4 linked regions of the Caenorhabditis elegans genome follow. The protein of the gene in region 4 purifies or fractionates together with the protein of the main gene of each other region. This does not show direct contact. Each region holds a gene or a part of one and is shown on either strand. Other genes may lie near its edges.

What was found.
Region 1: the proteins of ser-1 (region 4) and aps-1 purify together in Caenorhabditis elegans (affinity purification with western blotting, with the first as the bait; one study listed by BioGRID). This does not show direct contact.
Region 2: the proteins of ser-1 (region 4) and apd-3 purify together in Caenorhabditis elegans (affinity purification with western blotting, with the first as the bait; one study listed by BioGRID). This does not show direct contact.
Region 3: the proteins of ser-1 (region 4) and aps-3 purify together in Caenorhabditis elegans (affinity purification with western blotting, with the first as the bait; one study listed by BioGRID). This does not show direct contact.

Annotation. Positions count from the first base shown.
Region 1 is NC_003283.11:6,015,363-6,019,962, reverse strand, and holds aps-1 (AP complex subunit sigma), read right to left. Parts: upstream 1,994-4,600; 5' UTR 1,989-1,993; coding exon 1,911-1,988; intron 1,863-1,910; coding exon 1,759-1,862; intron 1,505-1,758; coding exon 1,213-1,504; 3' UTR 1,077-1,212; downstream 1-1,076. Other genes in the region: picc-1 (PAC-1 interacting and coiled-coil domain-containing protein 1), read right to left, coding at 933-957; rpt-2 (putative 26S proteasome regulatory subunit 4), read left to right, coding at 2,295-2,457, 2,504-2,724, 2,770-3,492, 3,539-3,763; Transcription factor fos-1, read right to left, coding at 4,272-4,393.
Region 2 is NC_003280.10:3,542,867-3,548,824, reverse strand, and holds the start of apd-3 (AP-3 complex subunit delta), read left to right. Parts: upstream 1-2,393; 5' UTR 2,394-2,403; coding exon 2,404-2,499; intron 2,500-2,550; coding exon 2,551-2,646; intron 2,647-2,782; coding exon 2,783-2,871; intron 2,872-2,980; coding exon 2,981-3,064; intron 3,065-3,889; coding exon 3,890-4,256; intron 4,257-4,959; coding exon 4,960-5,083; intron 5,084-5,751; coding exon 5,752-5,958.
Region 3 is NC_003279.8:1,153,068-1,158,077, forward strand, and holds aps-3 (AP complex mu/sigma subunit domain-containing protein), read right to left. Parts: upstream 2,954-5,010; coding exon 2,681-2,953; intron 2,641-2,680; coding exon 2,335-2,640; 3' UTR 1,447-2,334; downstream 1-1,446. Other genes in the region: znf-236 (C2H2-type domain-containing protein), read right to left, coding at 681-1,316; rpl-17 (Large ribosomal subunit protein uL22), read left to right, coding at 3,530-3,822, 3,904-4,028, 4,207-4,352; Y48G8AL.7 (Origin recognition complex subunit 6), read left to right, coding at 4,504-4,965.
Region 4 is NC_003284.9:16,577,332-16,583,331, forward strand, and holds the start of ser-1 (G-protein coupled receptors family 1 profile domain-containing protein), read left to right. Parts: upstream 1-2,413; coding exon 2,414-2,477; intron 2,478-4,594; coding exon 4,595-4,888; intron 4,889-5,713; coding exon 5,714-6,000.

The sequences.
Region 1 (4,600 bases), on a different chromosome or scaffold from region 4:
AACTTGCGAGAACAAAACCTGGTTTAGTTCTGCGTACCCACAAAAACCAATTACTTGTACATTGCTATTAGGAAAAACTATTATCGATTTTCAACATGTGATTATTTTTAATGCACCACGTAAAGCTAATTTAAATCTACCAAGTGAAAAATGGAGTTCCGTTGAATTATATACATTTATTGTTATTACTTGAAATCGTTCTTTCCTAAAGTTAAAAGCAACTGGGAAGCGTTATTTCGAACCAACTCTTTGGCTGATTTTCAAGACTGAAAAAAATAGCGAGGTTTGTTTATGATTTCTAGGGTCTCATGGACTGCGAATATTGAAAATGCGAATACTTATTCAAATAATGTGATGCGTACTTCTGCTTTCTGCCAAGATTTTAGATCAAAAATTAACTACGACTCAAAAACTAGGTGAAAGAACAAGTGTGTGCTGGAGCAAATTGATGGATACTTGAGAGAATGAGTGAATCCGCGCGGAAACATTTCCCGCTGTCTCCGCCTTCACTGCCCTTGTTCAATGTAAAACCAAAAACAATGCAAAGTATAGTGGATGGGAAGAGGAAGAAGTATTGGGCAGAAAACATGAAGAGGACACAAACATCTACTGTACGAAAATGATTAAACTTTGAGAAAACGGAAGTGATCGAAACAATTTTGACTAGTTTAATCATACTTATCGAAATTTCAGATAAATGATATTTTGAAATTCGACACCAACAAGAAGGTGAACATTGTGCTTTGTAATCTAACAAATGACAATTCCGGCAGAGGTGCCAATCATTCCTACATTCATTCCGTTCGAACTGACATGTTACACTGCCAACGTTCGCATATTACCCCCCGTTGAATTATCCTTGAATCCACCTTTCCCCTGTTCGTGTTTTACACTCATGTGCGGGAAACTCGGCAAAATTCACATTAGCTCACCTCGTCTCGGAGTTGTGATAATCATCCGCTTCGAAACCTGAGAAAGTTCAAAACTTTAAAGAAAAAATTGAAAAAAGTGTAGAAATAATGCAAGTCATGCATTGAAGTTTCCTAACAGAAAGAATACATAATGGAAGATTGAAAAATGAATGTTTTCTTCTCTTATTCACATGAATATTATCACAACCAGACACATAGCCAGGATAAATAAAGTAAGGTGGAAGTATTTGGTATTTACGGAAGCTTTCAAAGTCAATAAATTATGTTACTATTATCTTCATTATCCCAAACCGTGATCCTCGAAGAATCCTTGTGGAGTTTCTTCTTCTTGAATGAGATCTTGGGCAGCAATCGCCTTCAAAACTTGTTTTTTACTGGTTTCCTGGATTTCACCAGCCAGTAAAAATTCGTCGAGTATGAAGTAAGCTTTTTCGAAGTTGAAGATGATATCCAGCTCACAAACACTTCCAAAATATTTGTCGAGGAGTTCTACGTAACGATGAATGACTTCCAAAGTGATGAGCTCGTTGTCGTTTTGTTCGATGGCGCAGCAGAAATACAGAGACGCGTATCTGAAATTGTTGAGATTAAAAATTGAACGAATTGTTAAGTTTTTGTTTCATTTATCACAAAAATGTCTATTAAACAACTAAATTTGACGCCAAAATATTTTTCATGAATAAAAAACGTAATAACTTCGGATTTAGGTGTGTAACTATAATTTTCAAGAAATTTTGATTATAAACTTGTAAGTTATTTTCAGAAGGAACAATTTTAAGGCATGACAGGAAATGGGAGTTGTTACTTTTGAATATAAAATACGAACCGTTTGTAGACAACTTTCAAATCCTTGTATTCGAGGAACGCACACATTTTCGGTTTTCTCGCCAGAATTTGAGTGATGAGTTCGCGGCAAATTTTCTTCTTTTGCTGAAAATTGAGTGTGAAATTACACATATGAATAGGAAATACACTTACCTTGTCGGGGTAAGCAGTGTACCATTTCTGCAGCCGCAGTTTGCCCTGGCGACTGAAGAGAAGCATGTATTGCATCATGTTTACTGAAAACAAGAGTATGAACAATCGTTTGCAAACTTTAAAACGCTGAAAATACTTAAAAATCAATTGAAAAATTAGATTTTCTGAATAAAACAGACATGTGGCTTCGTCAATAAAAACAACGAAGCTCCGAAAATACGAAACCGCGCGTTGTTTAGTTCTCACCAGAGCGCGCTTGCATTGTCATCATCAACGCTGTATTTTTTTAAATCATTCTTCGTTCTACTTATTTTATATCTTTCAATTGTTTTCTTTTTCAAACGTGGACTTATTATTTTTCATATAAAATCATTATTTTCTAGAATGGGGCAACAACAGTCAGGTTTCGGTGGAAGAGGAAATGACCGCGGTGCCGGAGATGGAGAGAAGAAGGAAAAGAAGAAATATGAGGCACCGATTCCATCTAGGATTGGAAAGAAGAAGAAGGGGTCTAAGGGACCTGACGCCGCTAGCAAACTTCCAGCTGGTAAGTTTCAATCTAGTGTGTATTTTAACTGATGATTCGGTTTTAGTCACACCACATGCCAGATGCCGTCTGAAGTTGCTGAAGAGCGAAAGAATCAAGGATTATTTGTTGATGGAGCAAGAATTCATTCAAAACCAGGAGCGTTTGAAGCCACAAGAGGAGAGACAAGAAGAAGAGCGCGCCAAGGTGGACGAGCTCCGTGGAACACCAATGGCAGTCGGATCACTTGAGGAAATTATCGATGATCAGCACGCCATTGTTTCAACTGTAAGAATCAATATATCGATAATATTTTCTTATTTCAATATTTAGAACGTCGGAAGTGAGCATTACGTCAACATCATGTCATTCGTCGACAAGGAACAACTCGAGCCGGGATGTTCAGTCCTTCTCAACCACAAGAATCACGCCGTCATCGGAGTTCTCTCCGATGATACAGATCCTATGGTGTCTGTCATGAAGCTCGAAAAAGCACCACAAGAAACGTATGCCGATGTTGGTGGTCTTGATCAGCAAATTCAAGAAATTAAAGAAGCAGTTGAGCTTCCACTGACTCATCCTGAATACTACGAAGAGATGGGAATCCGGCCTCCAAAGGGAGTTATTCTATACGGTTGTCCTGGTACTGGAAAAACGCTACTTGCCAAGGCTGTTGCTAATCAGACGTCAGCTACTTTCCTTCGTATTGTTGGTTCGGAACTTATTCAGAAATACCTCGGAGATGGTCCAAAGATGGTCCGTGAGCTCTTCCGCGTTGCTGAGGAGAATGCACCATCAATTGTGTTCATTGATGAAATTGATGCTGTTGGAACAAAACGTTACGATTCGAACTCTGGTGGAGAACGTGAAATTCAGCGGACTATGCTTGAACTTCTCAATCAACTTGATGGATTCGATTCCCGTGGAGATGTTAAAGTTTTGATGGCCACTAACCGCATCGAATCTCTCGACCCTGCTCTCATTCGTCCAGGTCGTATTGATCGTAAGATTGAATTCCCCCTGCCAGATGAAAAAACGAAGCGCCGTATCTTCCAGGTTGGAACAATTTTTTCTAAACATTATATGAAGTTTTTATTTTCAGATCCATACATCTCGAATGACACTCGGCAAAGAAGTTAACCTCGAAGAGTTCATCACAGCAAAGGACGAGTTGAGTGGAGCTGATATCAAGGCTATGTGCACAGAAGCTGGTCTCTTAGCTCTTCGCGAGCGTCGTATGCGTGTCACGATGGAAGATTTCCAGAAGTCCAAAGAAAATGTGCTCTACCGTAAGAAGGAAGGAGCTCCAGAAGAACTCTATTTGTAAATGTGCCCCGTTTTATTTATTTTTTTTGTATTTTCTCTTTCCCAATTTATTTTATTCCCTTTTTGAACGTCCCGTTGCACAAAAACCGATTTAATGTAATTTTAAATCTGGATTGATTGAGGTAAATGATTCATGATGAAAAATATTCGTTTATGTGACATTGGGATTGATGGTTGGTAAGGAAAGTTCATGAATTTAATGAAACTGAAGAAGAAAAAAATGGAGAAAATCGACTTGAAGATTTACCAGTGAAGAAGTTGATGGTTTCGAAGAATAAGAAAATGATGTTACAGTTGAATGTATTTCTTATCACAATAATTGGAAACGGAAAGTTGGGGGAATTTCAGTAGCTAAAAGTGAAACTATAATGAGAAAAGAGAGAACTGGCTGAATTTAAAGATATGGAAATTGGATAGAAAATCGGGAAATTGTATGAAATTTTGTAATAATGAGAGCTGGACGGGGAAAATTACAAATGCACGCTACAGAAAATGATTTGAATCGGAATCTAGAGTGGTCGGAGATCAGCATCCGGATGTGGTTGAATCGGGGTTGGAGTTGAAACGAAGTTCATTGTTGGCTGACCAGAAGGTGTCAGACCAGTGTTGGAGGAAAGCAAGTCGAATGGGCCTGGAATGAAAATCGTTAATTATATTTTGAGAAATAAAAATAACACTTTTTAGCCCGGGATGAAACTGGAAAAATTTAAGAAAATTTTCGTATATTGTAGAAATATCGGCATTTGAATTAAAATTATGCAAATTTCTGGGTCTTGGCACGCCAACAACTTTCCAGCTACCGTACTCGCAATTGTAGTTCCAATTTTAACATTTTTTA
Region 2 (5,958 bases), on a different chromosome or scaffold from region 4:
TTTTTGATTATGATAAACTAATTGATAGTCAAAATATTAAATGTGTTTCTAGACGCCCATGTTGTTTTCGAGAAGAATAAAATGGCTTTTTGCAATATTTTTCATATTTTTCTGATCATGCATTTTTTGCTGTTTTACGATTCATATCTTTGCGCACATATGAGATATAACAAAACGGTCAACTGAATACCTGTTAATAATAAAAAAGCACTTATTTTTTGATTTAAAGATTTTTGATCAGACACCTGGTTTTGGAGTTACTGGCAAAAACATGAAAAATTAGGATTTTTTGAAAATTGGACCAAGCGCACTTCTATCGACTGTAACTCAGAAACGTGAGGAGATCCAACGTTGCACCAAACTGATAAATTGTAGCTTATAATATGTACATTAATGTTGTAATACATTACTTTTGTATATCTCTCATGGTTTCAAAGTTAGCACCGCTCAAAAATAAAAAAGACAATTTTGCAAGCGTTTTAGGCACTTCCAACAGATGTAGCGCTACCAATAAGCTATGCCTGAGTCTGAAAATTTTCAGTTTTATTTAACTAACTGTCTAATACATCTACGCATACAAAGTTTTTGATTTCATGAGGAAATAAAAAAAATCGAAAAAAAAAATTTTGTTTCGTTGTCATAGTTCGGAGTTTTAAACAACCTGGAAGTTGACCGAAATGGCTGATATCGTTGGGCTTGTCATTACTAACAGTCCTCTATACAACCGCAAAAAAATATCCAAGAAAAAATCAAAACTGGAAAAAAACGACAAAACTTATTGAACGACCTAATAGTTTGTGCTCGCCGCTGACTAAAATTGATAAGATAATTTTAGTTCTTATCTGTCTGTCTCCCGCTCGTACTGTTCCTCCAGTTGTTATTAGTCTTCTATGATTCTGCTAGATAATAATAAATGTTTTGTCTGAAATTGTCTGAAAATTCCATGCGATCACATTTCGAAGAGGCGGCGGCGACGGTTCGAAAAAATTCAAAAAGTCTGAGAAATCGACGAGCCGATCAGGGGTTTCTCCTAGCGCAGACGTCATTTCAGTTGTGAGTTTTTGAAAAAAAAGATTGAACAGATGAAAACGCGCTCTATTGCGAATTATCGGTGAATCTCATTAGAGCGCGCTTTCTAGAAGGTTTTAAGATGAACATTTCGAAAAAAAACGTTCCAATTTCCTTTTTTAGGTCAAACTTCTGGCCTAGAATTCCCTCTAGTCCCTCCAACACTTGTCGTTGTCCTTAATAATTCTTCAGTGCCTTTGGTCGATATATCCGTCTCCGCAAGCTGTGCTGCTGCACCCCTCTGTGCCGCTACTTTCCTGTCTGCGTCTCGACCCCTGCCCGCTCTATTTCCCTCATTTTCTCTCCGCACGTTCTATGTTTGATTCTATCTTTGGGGCGAGGAGGGAAGAAGATGCGTCGTCTTTTTCGTCCTCTTTTAGGAGCCCTTCTGTGTTTGGAACTGACGCAGAAGCTGAAGAGATGGAGGACGACGTCCCCATTTAATCCTTCACTCATTTTATCGCCTTTTCCCCACAAAAACCCGCGCTTTTCGGACATTTTTTTGGAATTTTTCGGGTTTTTTTTTGAGGCATGTTGCACCATGTTAGTTCCTGCGAATTTAAGGTTTTTATTTTATTGTGAAATTTTTTTAAAGATTTTTTTAAATTTTGAAAAACATTAATTTGTCTGTTTTAAAGCAAATTTAGAATTTAATTTACCTATTTTTTTCGGATTTTCTTCTATTTCTGGCCATCTAAACCGAAATTAGAATGGATTTTACAGAAATGCTACCCAAAATTAATTCATTTAAACATTTCCGGTTTTCTTGTGGCTTTTCGTGATTAATTTATTCATTTTTACCAAGAAAAAACAATAAAAATCGATAAAAACTTCAATAAATCGATTTATTCGAGTACTGTTTTAAAGGCGCATGACATCAAGATTTTGTTGGGTTTTGACACGAGTTTTTGTTTTGTGCGAGTTCAGGTTGACTCTTTTGTATTTTTCAATTAAAGAAATTGTGAAATAGGTTGATGAAATTTTAAAAACACTTTTTATTGTTTTCGTGGAGAAAAAATCAGATTTCGTGCTTAAATTCTGAAAAATTATGGTAAAAACCGTATGCCTTCTTTAAAGGTACATGGAGGAAGTTTTAGTTTGGGTCTCGAGGCGATAGTTTTGAAGATTATTTTATTTTATTTTTTGACGGTTTTAAAGCAATTTTTCTCTATTTAACCAAGATTTTTTGTTGTTTTTGTCACAAAAATCACAACATTAAATTTTTTAAAAATATTTTTCACAAAAATCACCTCACCGAACCCTTCTGCGTGTCATTTTTCACTCCCAAAACGAAAAAAACTTTAAAAAAAGCAAAATTTTTTCAGATTCGAAGAAATGGCGTTACGCAAGGTGCGTAGCAACATTGACCGGATCTTTGACAAGTCTCTGACCGACTTGATCCGCGGAATTCGCAATAATAAGGATAATGAGGTGGGATTTATTGGTTTTCCGGGAAAAAATCTAATTTTTTGATATTTTCAGTCCCGATACATCACTCAATGTATGGAAGAGATCAAGCAGGAGCTCCGACAAGACTCGATTTATGTGAAGGCGAACGCAATTGAAAAGTTGGCCTATGTGAGTTCCGGCGTGCCGAAAAACTTGAAAATTAGCCTCTATTCAGTGGAAAAACGCTCTAAAAATGAAGAAAAACACGAAAAATTGAATTTTTCACTTAAAAATCTGTAAAAACCATGACTTTTTATGTTTTCAGCTCCAAATGCTCGGTTATGACATCTCATGGGCTTCGTTCAACGTGATAGAAGTGATGGCTTCTACAAAATACACGGAAAAGCGAATAGGGTTGGTTTTTATTCGATTTTTGCTGAATTTTGACCTAAAAACTCCGGTTAAAACGTATTTTTCGATGATTTTAAGCCGAAAATTCAGTAAAAAATCAATAATTTTTCAGATATCTCGCCGCTGCACAAAGCTTCCACGATGAGACTGATGTCCTTATGTTGACGACGAATTTGATAAGAAAAGATGTGAATAGGTAAGGTTCTTGGGCGAAAAAGTGTGAAAAACTGGAAAAAATACAAATTTTCGCCAATTTTGAGCTAAAAAATGCGATTTTTGATGTTGGAAATGTTGAAAAAATGCAAATTTGGATTTTGGCAAGAAATTTCTGGAAATTTACAAATAAAAAATGAAATTTCATTTTTTTAAATTAGAATCTTTTTAAAATTTTATTTTTCTAATAAAAAAAACCGAAAAATATCATTTTTTCTGAAAAAAAAATTGAAAAATTATTTTTTTCTCAAAAAATTCAATTTTTTATCTAAAAAAACGATAAAAAACCATAATCAGAAAAAAAGGCAAAAATCCAGATTTTTCTTTTAAAAAATGGATAAAAAACACAATTTTTTCTCTAAAAAATCAAAAAAATTCAGATTTTTGCTTTAAAAAATACAATTTTTTATCTAAAAAATTGATAAAAAATGCATATTTTTTCTGAAAAAAAGGCAAAAATCTAGATTTTTCTGAAAAAAATTGATAAAAAATCCATTATTTTCTCTAAAAAAATCGAAAAAGTTCAGATTTTTTCCCAAAAAAAGGGGAAAAGAAAAAATATAGATTTTTATTTAAAAATTGATAAAAAATCCAATTTTTTCTAAAAAAAAACGGAAAAAATTCGGTTGTTTCTCAAAAAAAAGGAAAAATATAGATTTTATTTCCAAAATAAAATGAAAAAAAAACTGGAAAAAATAATATTTTTTCAAAAAAAATTTTTTTGCCAAAAAATCAATTTTTTCCTCAAAATATCGAAAAAGTTCCAATTTTTTTCAAAAAAAAAATCACGAAAAATTCAATTTTTCAGCTCAAATATGTACGAAAGCGGTATCGCATTGGGTGGTCTCAGCTGCTTCGTAACTCCAGATTTGGCTCGAGATCTCGCAGCGGACGTTGTAAATTTGCTCTCTTGCTCGCGGAATTATACGAGAAAACGGGCGGTTCTGCTGCTTTATAAGATATTTTTAAAGTATCCAGACGCTCTACGACCAACATTTCCCCGATTGAAAGAAAAATTGGAAGATCCGGATCCGGGAGTTCAGAGCTCGGCGGTTAATGTGATTTGTGAGCTGGCGAGGAAAAATCCGAAGAATTATTTGACACTGGCACCGGTTTTCTTTAAATTAATGACTACTTCTTCGAATAATTGGATGCTTATTAAAATTATTAAATTGGTACGGACATTTCGAGGCAGAAATTGGAAAAAATCGGTTGAAAATTGATTTTTTTTCCGAAAAAATCGTTTTTTTTCGGTTACTTATGCGAAAAAATTGAATTTTTTTCGATTATTTTAAGCGAAAAAATTGGATTTTTTTCGAAAAAAATGATAATAAAATTTCGATTTTCTTTAGAGAAAAAATTGAATTTTTTCGGATTTTTTTTCGATTTTTTTTTCAGAATTTTTTTGGAGAAAAATTGAATTTTTTCGGATTTTTTTTCGATTTTTTTTTCAGAATTTTTTTGGAGAAAAATTGAATTTTTTCGATTTTTTTCTAAAAAAAAGTGAAATTTTCAGATTTTTTTTTTGAGAAAAAAAGCTAATTTTTTTTTCTGAAAAATTGAAGTATTCCGAATTTTTTTTGAATTTTTCGCAAAAAAAAAATAAAAATCTGAAAAAATTTGGAAAAATAATGAAAAAAAAATTTTTTTTTACCAACTTTTTAGGAAAAAAATGAAGCAAAAAATTCGAAAAATTTATAAGTTTTTAAAATTTCAATGTGTTAGAAAAAAATGAACAAAAAGGAAAAAAAAGAGATAAAATAAAAATTTTCCAAAAATTTATTTTTTAATTTTAAATTTTTTTGCATTAAAAATCTGATTGTAATTTATTATTAAATCTCGAAAAAAGTTCCCAAAAAAAACGAATAATATTTTCAGTTCGGAGCCCTCGTCCCACTGGAGCCCCGACTTGGCAAGAAGCTCCTGGAGCCGCTCACAAATCTCATCAATTCAACGTCAGCAATGTCGTTGCTCTACGAGTGTATTAATACTGTTATAGCAGGTAAAAATCGATATTAAAATTTGATATAATTTTTTAGGAAATTATGAAAAAAAATTTTTTTGAAATTTAAAAAATTCGAAACAATTTTTTTTTTCAAATTATAAAGTTTTTTATTGGAATTTTTCAAATTTTAGAATACTAGATAAGTAAAATTTTACGAAAATTTGAAAACAAAAATTTAAAAAAAAAATTTATTTGGAAAAAAGTGAAAAAAAATTCGAAAAAATCAAAAATTAATTTTTTTTTCAATGTTTGAAAATCGAAAAAAATAACTCACAAAAAAGGTAAAATGTACTTTTTTCAAAAAAATAGAAAAAAAAATTAAAAAATTTTTATTCTGTGAAAAAAAATCAATAATTTTTAATTTCAGTATTTTTCAGCTTCAAAATTTGTCAAAGGTGCCAGAAAAAAATTTAAAAAATTAAAAAAAAATCTAGCAAAATATTCGAAAAACATTCTAAATTTAAATGAGCCAGTGGAAAAAAAATTAATTTTTTTAAATAAAAAAAAATAAATTTCAGTTCTTTTTAGCTTAAAATTCGCTGAAATCGGCTGAAAATCGCTCAGAAATTTGAAAATCTTTGACGAAAAAATAATTTTTTGCACCAAAACCGCCCAAAAAAGCTAAAAAATTCCAAATTTTCCACCTAAAACCTCCCAATTTTCAGTACTAATCAGCATCTCAGCCGGCGGAGACCACACCGCTTCCATTCAACTTTGCGTCCAAAAACTCGGCGTTCTCATCGAAGATTCCGACCAAAATCTGAAATATTTGGGGCTCCTGGCGATGGGAAAAATTCTAAAAACCCACCCAAAAGCCGTCCAAGCTCACAAGGACATTGTGCTCCGATGCCTTGATGATAAAGATGAAAGTA
Region 3 (5,010 bases), on a different chromosome or scaffold from region 4:
ATTGTAAAATTTTGAATTTCACTGAATTTCAAATAAAAAAAAACAACGAATTTCGATTAAATTCTCGCAAAAAGCTGCTATTTTCATCTGAAATCGTTGAAAAGTCAATAAAAAAGATACGATAGATTTAAAGGCGCATAGCCCAAATTTGTGTTGTCGTGCCGAGACCCGTGTTCTTGTAAATTATGCCTCCCTTGAAATGTTTCTTTATTTTAAATAGGATTTTTGTCGATTTTAAGTCGAATTTCTTCGAAAAAATCCATATTTCACTTAAAAATGTAATTTTTTTTTGAATTTCACTAAAATTTTCACAAAAAATCACCCAAAAAACTGCATTTTTCATCTGATATCATTAAAAATTCAATAAAAGATACGATGGATTTAAAGGCGCATAGCCCAAATTTGTATTGTCGTGCCGAGACCCGCGTTCTTATCAATTATGTCTCCCTTTGAATTTTTTTAATTGGAATTTTGTCGATTTTAGGTCAAATTCCTTCGAAAAGTCAATTATCGGGGAATTTTTGAAGAAAATTAACAGAAATTAACCTAAAATGTTTAATTTTCACGAAAAACTGACTTTTTTCTTGCACTTTTTTACTGAAAAATGGACTTTTGTCAAATTTCCCTAGAATTTTCACCGAAAATTTGTAATTTTTCCTAAGAAAATCCTCAATTTTTACCTCATTTTCAAACTCATTGCCACACTGCTCACACTCCAAATCATCGGATTTTAAATGAACTTTTACATGTCCAATATAGGCCGAAAATCGGCTAAAAGGCGCGTGAGTTTTGTCTTTCGAGCAGAATTGGCAAATGGTTCCTCTCACAAAGTCAGTAGCTTTCAGGTGGTCGAGAATTTTGTGGATTTTCAGATTTTTCTCAAAGTTGAAGCTTTCCCGGCATTCTGTGCACTCGAAAAGCTTCGGCTTTAGTCTGCAGTCATGCGAGTTGGTATCCTCGATTTTTGATCTACATTCCATGCAATAAATGTCAGGGCGATCGATTTCTTCGTCGGATTCGTCTTCAGATTCATCGTCTTCCACCTCCTCAATTTCCCCCCGAATTGCGACTTCTTCACCCACAAAATCCAGGCCATCTAGGCTTTGAACAGGCTCAAAATCCAGATTTTGCGCGGGAGGATATTGAGCAATTTCGTGGCGAGACCCAAGCTCTCGTACATTATTATTATTATTATAATTACTATAATCAAACATATAGTCAGCTGGCTCCGATCGCACACTGGCCGCGTTTTCGTGCCGGATTCGGTCCCAGGAGGCGTTGTTTCGCTCCCGATATTGGGACGGGTCGTAATCCATTTTCTGCGGGAAATATGGAAAATTGGGTCAATTTAAAAAAAAATTTTAATTGTAAAGTATTTTTTTTTGAAGACCTGTACTTTTTTTACTTTTTTAAAAATCCCTAAAACCTTCAATGAGGAGTAAATAATAAATAAATAATTTTATACATTCAAAAAATACAAGATGAGCGCTCGAGCCACTGCAACTATTTTCGAACGAGGGACGAGGAAATGCGGTTTCTAGGCCATGTCCGAGGATCCGACAAGTTTCAGCGGCAATTTATCTTGCTTTCTTTTCCGAGTGTTTTCTTGTGTTTTTCACCGATTTTTCCCCCGTTTTTTCTTATTAAAACTGATGAATAAATATTTTTTTGCAGATGCTAAAGCAATTTCCGAGTGAAAAATTATGTATTCAGTCGGCAAGTAGCGGTGAACGTGTGCAATGTAATATGATGGATTACGGGAATACCAAACCTGAACTTTTTCCGAAACATGATATATATGCTGCTTAGATTCTGAAAGTACCTGATTTTCATAACGAGACCGCTGAAAAAGTTTTGAGATTTTCAAAATTCAACTTTTTTGGTGAAAAAGTCGAGATTTTCGAACAAAAAGTTGAATTTTGGAAACCTTAAAACTTTTTCAGCGGTCTCGATATGAAAATCAGGTAGTTTTAGCATCTAAGCAGCATATGTATCATGTTTCAGAAAAAGTTTAGGTTTTGTATTCCCGTAATCCATCATATTACAATGCCCACGTTCACCGCTACTTGCCGACTCAATACACGATTTTTCACTTGGAAATTGCTTTAGCGCCTGCAAAAAATATTTATTTATAAGTTTTGATAAGAAAAAACGGGAGAAAATCTGTGAAAAAAAAAAGAAAACACGCGGAAAACAAAGCAAGATAAATTGCCGCTGAAACTTGACGGATCCTCGGCCATGGCCTAGAAACCCCTTTTCCTCGTCCCTCGTGAGGAAAAAGTTTAAGTGATGAGCGTGGAATGTGTGTAAGTAGAAGCACCAAGAAAATCGAGGTCAAAATGCATTTTTCAAATTCGAAAGCGACGGTAAATCTGGCAGCTTGATGTCCTTCAACTGCTGGGAAATGTTCATATTCTTGACGGCCGACACGGCACGGGCCGGCGCCGCAGTGATTCCAGCCTCTTGCTTCTGGATTTTGTCCTGTTCCTGGATGCGTTGAAGGATCTCGTTCATGTTCGTCTCGAGAACCATACCGCCCATCACGATTTCGCCGAGAATGTGGTGAACTCGATCCACGTGGAAGATTAGATCCAGCTCGCACACGTTTTCGAAGCAGCGGTCGAGAGTTTCAACGAAGACCTGAACACTTTAATCGATTTTTAAAAATAGGATAGCTTACCTGAATCAAATCGAGGATTCCAAGTTCACTTTCAGAAGAATCAACACAAAATATGAAATACAATGTGGCATAATGCCTGTAGATTAATCGATAGTCATTTCCATCGATGAGAGTTCCTCCTTCCAGAAAATTGCAGACGTTATCGTCGCGCTTTGACACCAGTTGGAAGGTTTCTCGAACGATTTGCTGTTGCTTCTCCTCTGGATAATGTTGATAAAATTTTAAAAGTCTTGGTTTTCCGTGATTGTTGATGACAAGTATCGCTTTTATCATCTGAAAATATGATTTTTAGACGAATAACAAAAGAAAAACATTTTAAATTGCAAGATTATCGAAGAAATTCGCGAAAAACTATCCGAAACAACGCGAAAAATTATAAAAATCAATGAGTGTTGCCTCTCCCCGTAAATCGACACAAGATCGCGGCGAGACCCATCGCTGCGGACTACGGTTTCGCTTGCGCCTTTAAATACATTTCGCGATTATTTTTGGGCCTTTTTCTCTTTTTCACTCAATTTTGGCCTAAAATGCGCCGTTTTTTACTGTTTTTTTTCGAAAAATAATTGAAAAATTTAATGTAAAGTGATATTTAATACGAATTACTAGGAATTATCGTGAAATTTTAGCAATTTTTTTGTTTTTTACTAAGAAAATAGGGTCTTCTCGTATTTTCCAACTTTTGTCGTGATTTTTTGTAATTAAAAAACTTGTGTAGCACTAGGGAAGCCAGAGTTCAATTAATTTAACTGAACATATTTTTTTCCGGCAATTTTCCTCGTTCTTTATTGGACCTGCGTTCTAATTTTTATTTCTGAACTGTATTATTTTCAGGTAATCTTCCTTGTCGAAATGACGAAGGTTCACTACTCCCGGGCTCCGGAAAACAGCACCAAGTCGTGCAAGGCTCGCGGATCCGATCTCCGCGTTCACTTCAAGAACACCCACGAGGCCGCCATGGCTCTCCGTGGCATGCCACTCAGACGCGCCCAGGCTTTCCTCAACCACGTTAAGGAGCACAAGGAAATCGTTCCATTCAGACGTTTCCACGGAGGAATCGGCCGTGCCGCTCAAACCAAGCAATGGAACACCACCCAGGGGAGATGGCCAGTCAAGTCCGCTGACTTCCTCCTCGATCTCTTGAAGTGAGTTTCACACCTATTTTCTCAACTCAATTTAAAAAAATTTTTGTTAAGTGAAAGATAAAAAATTGTTTATTTTTCCAGGAACGCTGAGAGCAACGCCGAGTACAAGGGGCTCGATGTTGACCACCTCGTTATTGAGCACATCAACGTTCAACGCGCTGCCAAGCTCCGCAGAAGAACATACCGTGCCCACGGAAGAATCAACCGTAAGTTGATTTCCGCTCTTTGAAGCAAATTTTTCTTTGTGTGCCCAAAACTACACGCAAGTCTTAGCGGTCGGTTTTCTGCGGCAATTTACTTTGAAATCTCCGTAGAATATTGTGCATATTTGAAAACTTCAAAATTTTTTAAAAAGTTTTCTCGCTTTAAATAAATTAATTTCAGCATACATGTCTTCCCCATGCCACATCGAGGTCATCTTGGCCGAGAAGGAGGATGTTGTCTCCAAGCCAACCGATGATGCCGCACCAAAAGTCAAGAAGGAGTCGAAGAGAAAGCAACGCCGCCAGTTGGCCCGTGGAGAATTCTAAGTAAACTCTTGTTGATAAATGTTTTGTTTGTTCGCAAGTGTTTCCCGTTACACAAAATACACGAAACAGTATTCTTCAGCTTTAAACGTATCTCGGTAATCAAGAAAGTCGGTCGTAAATACTAGTAATTTTTAATAGAAATATTAAACAGATGCTGCCAGTGAAAAAAGCCGTGTCTCGCGCAGCACTGATCCTCGGCCGTGCGGTGGCTCCAGCCGAGCAGCTAGCAATGATTAAAAATTCAAGCGCAGATCGTGAAATCAAAGGTCTTCTGAGACAATGTCTTATCGCAGCGATGAACTTCCAGTCATCAAGTAAAGAAAATCTGGAAAAATCAAAGACACTCGTTCGGAAAACCGGAAGCACATGCGAGATAAGTTGCCGGTCTGCCGCATTCACAGCTGCATCGGCGATGAAGTTGAAAAAATGGAATGATGTCGACGAAATGCTTCAGCTAACAACACTTTGTCCGCCAGCAATAACGAGCTCAATTCGTATCAAGGCACTTGCAGAGCAGTCAAAGCTCGATGAAGCTTTATTGGAGCTCGAGAAGGTTCTGATGTTTGAGGAGGAAGTTTTCTCGTCTGGGAATTACAGTGTCAGCGATGAAGCGGTTAGTAGTTTGAAAAATTAAAGGCGCAGAGATTATTTCAGATGG
Region 4 (6,000 bases):
ACTATTTACTGACATGTGAGATGCCTTTTGTTTTTGTCAAATATTCTCAAAAACACAAGTATTTATAGAGAATGATTTTGAAAAAACATTTTTACCAAATTTTGAAAAATAACAGAAACCTCATTCAGTCTACCTCTGGATCATTTTTTGTCTACCGTCGAGTTCAGAATATTTCAATTTTGGATTCAAATATCTATTTTATCCGTCTCCTAACCAAACTTTGATTCACTTTTATGGGAAAAGAATGACGGATATCTCGATAAAGTTAGGTTTCAAGTTTGATTTCTGGTTGCCTATTTTCCAATTTCCGCTGTGTCTTCGAGCATTTCGAGGATCCCGAGATTCGCGAATCTCAAGCTGAAAACATTGAATTGAAACCCAAAATCTGCCAATATTTGGGTTTCATTTGGTGAATGCGTTTCTCGGAAAATGTAGAAAATGGAAATTTTGAACTCTAAAGAAAGTGGATGAATAAGCTCAGCAAAGAGTTTTTCTATGCCATAGAACAAAATTTTTGGCAAAATAAATATGCTTTGTACACGTAGTAGGTTTATGACGGATTTATTTTGTAAAACGAGCTTTTCCAAAAGTCAGACTTATTTGTGCATTTGAACTGTGATTTAAAATTCAAATTTTTTTCTGACATTTCCACCCACATTTTGATCTATGTAAATTTACAAACATCTATATATAAATATCCTTAATGTTGTTTTTAAATAAACAAGTACATACAAACAGCAATTATTGAAAAGTTGACAAAAGCCATGGATCAGATTTAGTGTTTTGGGAATTTGCTTCAGTACCCTTCTTCAAAGAAACTTTTGAGAAGAAAATCGTCCCTTTCCAAGAAATGTGTCTAAACAGCTTTGTTGAGCCGTTCCAAGGGATATGTTAGAATAGCGATAGTGTTGAGATTTGAAGTATACTAATTTTTCGAAAAGTTTGAAAGCATATAATTTTTTTATTTTTTTTTTGTTGGCAGAAAATTTGAAACAAAAAAAAATAATCGAAGTACCAATTAATCCGAAAGTCTAGCGTAAAGTTTCCGAAAAGGAAAAAAACATTTCTAATCCTAAAAAGTAAGCATATCACCTTAGAAAATGATAAATGTATGTATGTTCAATGTTTTAATAGGGTTATAACGCCCACGTACCAAAAAAATATATTAAAGCCAAATATTATATAATTTTACCTTTTTGAAAATCTTAACACTCTGTATTACAACCCTAAAATGACGGTGTCTTAGGAATTCTGAAAATTTTTTATCCAAATGAAAATTTTCAAAAAATGTGGTTACAAATACCTATATTTCTTAAAGTCTATGGCTTTCTTTTTGTGTCAGATTTATAAATTTGTAGATACACTTATCTTCTCAATTACACAGATAACACGTTCTTGTATGTCTTACTCAGCATTTGGTGGCAACTTCTTGCTTACGTCTAGCCCAAAAATGCTACTTGAATTCAGAAGTTGGTAAAGCTTATGTTTTGCAAAATTGCAGCGCCCGACAATTTTTGAGTTTCGCGCCGTTCAAAAAACTTGGGTTGCATAGCGCCAAAATGAAAGCCCTATTCTTGTATTTTAATGCTTGGCTAACCCATTACAAAGGTTGGATCAAATTTGGACTAAACTAAGGCCCGAACTAAGCCGGTCAACTTCTGACTATAATACTTTCCGGCCACCTAGGAGCGCAAAATTGCTAACAAATTTCTTATTGATTCACAAGTATTTTAATTTCCAATGAAACCCCCAATTTTCACCATTATTATTACTCTGGCATAGTCTCTTGTTGGCTAAACTCATATTTTTTTCTTCTTAAGCCGCCGCCCAGGTGTGATACAGTTTCCTTTTGTTTGTCACTTTTACCTGCCTCTCCAGCTCACCACACCTTTCAACCGAACAGCTTAACTGTTCTTTGCACTTTGTGCAATCCAGAACTGACAATTGAGGTGTACGTATGTAGTAAGATACAAGATATCCCAGTACAGACCTCCCACTTCAATCCCGACACAGCGTTTACCACTGTGACGTTCTCTCTTTCTCTCCGCTCTCCCCTCATTCTGACGTTGTGTTGTTTGCCAGTAGGTCGCGGCACTCATAAAAAAGCTGTTGGAACTCTCGGCGACCTTCTTTTCTTCTGCTCGGCTCCCGGGGGCTCCCATGTGAGGCGCGCCCCGCGTACCATATGATAACGCACTTTGACCACTCACCGCGCCGCTAATGGCCCTTACTTATGCAGGCAGCCTCTTTTCCTGTGTTTTCACACATTTTTCGTTTTGTGACTCCTCTTTTTTCATCTTCTGTTTCTCCTTTCCGCAGTCTCCCTGCTGACTTGGCAATTAGCACTTATTTGTTGGAAAATACGTGAAAAGTGCTTGGTTTTTGTTTCAGAGGTGCACTCCTCTCAACCTAGATGCTCATTGAACTCTTCTCACACAGCGCTCCACCTGAGGATCCCTACTATGTACCTGCAAATGGTAAGTCTGATCAGTTGAACTTTTCATGCGTTTTTTTGGGGATGAACCATAGACAATGATGATGTTTTCGTTTGTGTCGGAATCTAGGAATAGATGCTTCTTGCAAGAGAACAAAAGAATTTGAGGAAGGGGGTGAAGAATTCAGTGGGGAAAAATGGGCGGAAAAACTCAAAAAGTTATGCGCATACCTAACGTGTGTGCATATTCAATCACCGTCTTCCTCTAAAATTTTGACGTCTACGTCTCCGTTTCGTCGCCACCCACCAGATTTTTTTTTCGGTATTCAGTGAAAAGGGGAGCATGATCTCAAAAACTCTAAACTCCCAAAAAAAAATCTGAACAACAGGATCTCACATTTCCAATACATATCCACATAGACAGTGGCGGCGCTTAAAGAAAGGGCAAAAACGGTTTTGTTTGTTTGATGGCTTCTCTCGCTAGGCTGAGTAAATCAAAACCGAAAATCTCTAGCCGTCACAGCCAATACCATAAGAAACGTCAAAGGTCGTACGTGTTAAATTTGATCCTCAATGAGTAGACTGTACCAGGGTCATAAAGGTGATTGGTCGGCGCCTATCCAACAAAACAAGAGCAGCACAATTCAATTTTAAATCCGAATGTTTAAATTTAACTTATTAATTTTGTCTTCGGAACATTTTTAGTAAAATTACGTCATTTAAAAACATTCGAAACCAATTTTACTTTAAAATTTTTATTCTAATATTTTAAGTTTACAAAATAAATAAAAAGCTAAATATAAGCTTTATTTTTAAATTTTTGAGCTGATCCCTACCTTTTCCGTAATTCTATTTCCCATTTTTGAATCAAAGTTTTTGAAACCTTTTCCTTTTCCCGACGGATTTTGTCAAAAAGTCTAGCTCTCAGAATAGCCCGACCTTTTTTTCAAACTGATCCAGCTACAAAAACCAAAAGGAAAAGATTACGAACGGATTAAAAAAAGAGTTGCAAATTCATTAATATGAGTTCAAAAATGGCAACTCATCAAGCGACCGGTTTTTGATGATTAATACTTTCATAAATTGAAACTCAAATGTTTTTGAGTAATTAATTTCTGCTATTATTTTCAAACAACATTCTTCATTTATAATTTATCGCAAATTCGTCTCCCGAAACCCTTAATCATGCATTTTTGTGTTTTTGTTTCTGAAAGAATGACAAAAATTTTCAATAATGCTTTAATAATTTCTGTTGCCAAAAATATTTGTTTGTGGGGGTTGTAATTTTGAAATTCCAGGTGAAAATATTTTGAAAAATCAAGTTCTAGTAGCAAGTTGAACTAGTTTTTTATTCTGAGTTTAACGAACAAATGTCAATTCACGTCAGAGAAGAAATATTTTTGGAACAATATTTTTTTTGGAAATTGTGTAATTTTCACAAAAATTTTGAAAATTTCTGTCCCTGTGTTTCCCTAAAATTGACATAATTTTTGATGAGTTCATTTTATAAAAATTTCTTGATGGTGTAAAAATTATAAAGAACAATAAAATTGTGTTTTAAAGAAAAATTATATTCAAAAAATCTTATTTTTAATTGCTGGGATCTATAAAACTGGGCAAAAAGTGTTGTCTATTTACGTTCAGGAAATCTTGACTAGAACATTTTGCGAAATAGCAAAAACTCAATTCAATAATTTTTTAAAGCTAGTATTTTTTGGAACCATTAACTCGAAATTTGAAAACTGGAACCAAAAAAGTGGGCGGAGTTTCCAAAACGCCAGCAAAAAATCATTGGCAGCTCGTCATACTTTTTTCGCTTTCCTCTCTCTTTTTCTCCCCCCGGCCAGCCTTCTCCTCTCTCCACTGACCTGTGATGTACCTTAACAATTTCAAAACGAACGACACATTCGGAAACATCTAATTTCTCACCCATTTTTTATTATCAGAGAGCAACCAATTGTTGCGTGGGGTAGTGAAAAAGAAACACGTACATACATCTCTTTTCTAGATTAATCTAATCTAGAAAAGGCGAAGGCCGCATCGAAGGCTTCACTTTGATTTACTTTTGTGCGTGCGTCTGCATTTTTTTTTCATTCAATTACAAATTCATCATCATCATCCCAATTCAATCAACCAATTTTTCAACAATTCAACATCTAGAATCATTTGCAACGACGGCGCTCACACCGCACTTCTCCACAACGAGCGTATGGTCGATACGGGTGCAGTTGATCCCGACGATGGGAATCTACCATTTCAACGGTGTCGCCTTGTTTCTGTTGCCGGTGCTTTGTCTGATTGGGTTGATCGGCAACTTTTTGGTGTGTGTGGCAATTGCGACGGATCGAAGGTTACACAATGTCACCAACTACTTTTTATTCTCATTGGCTCTGGCTGATCTTCTGGTTTGTTGTATTGTGATGCCATTGAGTATAGTGGTCGAGGTTCGGCACGGTCAGTGGAATATTTTTGGAATATTTTTTTAATTTAGGGCTAGAAAAGAAAATTCCTATACTTCCTATACTGTTCCTATACTGGAAAATGTACATAGGATTATTGTTTCTACAAAAATTGAAACTGTAATAAAGAAAAGAAAAAACCTCATAAATAATTTTGATCTACCTGTCCCACTGAATTATGGCTTAATTTTGGCTTAAAACTGAATATTTGGTGTCTACACTATATGGCCGACATTTTTTAGGTTACGCGACTTTTTAAATAACCTAAGAAAGACAATTTAAAATGCATTCGGCAGAGGTGAATTGTGTAGGTATAAGGTAGGCGTAGGTAACTTTAAAGCCTAATTTTTTTTGCTGTCATGCAAGTTATAGGGAACAGTGCAATATTTTAGGCTGATAAAAAAAACTTAACCCAAAATGCTTTTTTACTTAATTTTTTACCTTTTTCAATTTGTGAAAACGAATCAGATGATTAATAGGCTATAAACTAAACTATTGTTTGTTTTTTTCAACTTTATTTTTCCCTTCTCCAGGTGTGCAAATACCACCAGCGCTGTATTTTGTCAATTAGCTAATAATTTCGATGAATTTTTTTCAAAAGTATCTAACTATAAGCATCTTTGAGCGCATTTGTTAATAAATAATTAGAGGAACGAATAAAAAATGAGAATAAAAAAATCATGAAATATTGAGTGGGAAGTGTAAAGATTTTTGAACGAATAGAAAAAAAAAGTTAATTATATATGTAAAATTATAAATTTAGTTAATTGAAGATCGAAATAATCTTCACAAAAAAAAAAATTTTAAAAAGTAATTTCAGGGGTGTGGACATGGAGCGTGTCGATGTGCCTTTTGTACGTCTACTCGGACGTATTTCTGTGCTCGGCGAGCATTGTCCACATGTCCGTCATCTCGCTGGACCGATATCTCGGTATCTCTCAACCACTTCGCACCCGCAACAGATCAAAAACACTGATATTTATCAAAATTGCCATCGTGTGGGTTGTCACTCTACTTGTCTCCTGTCCGATTGCCGTGCTGGCGATGCATGACACGGCAAACATTTTGCGAAACAATCAGTGTATGATCTTCAGCAGATATTATATT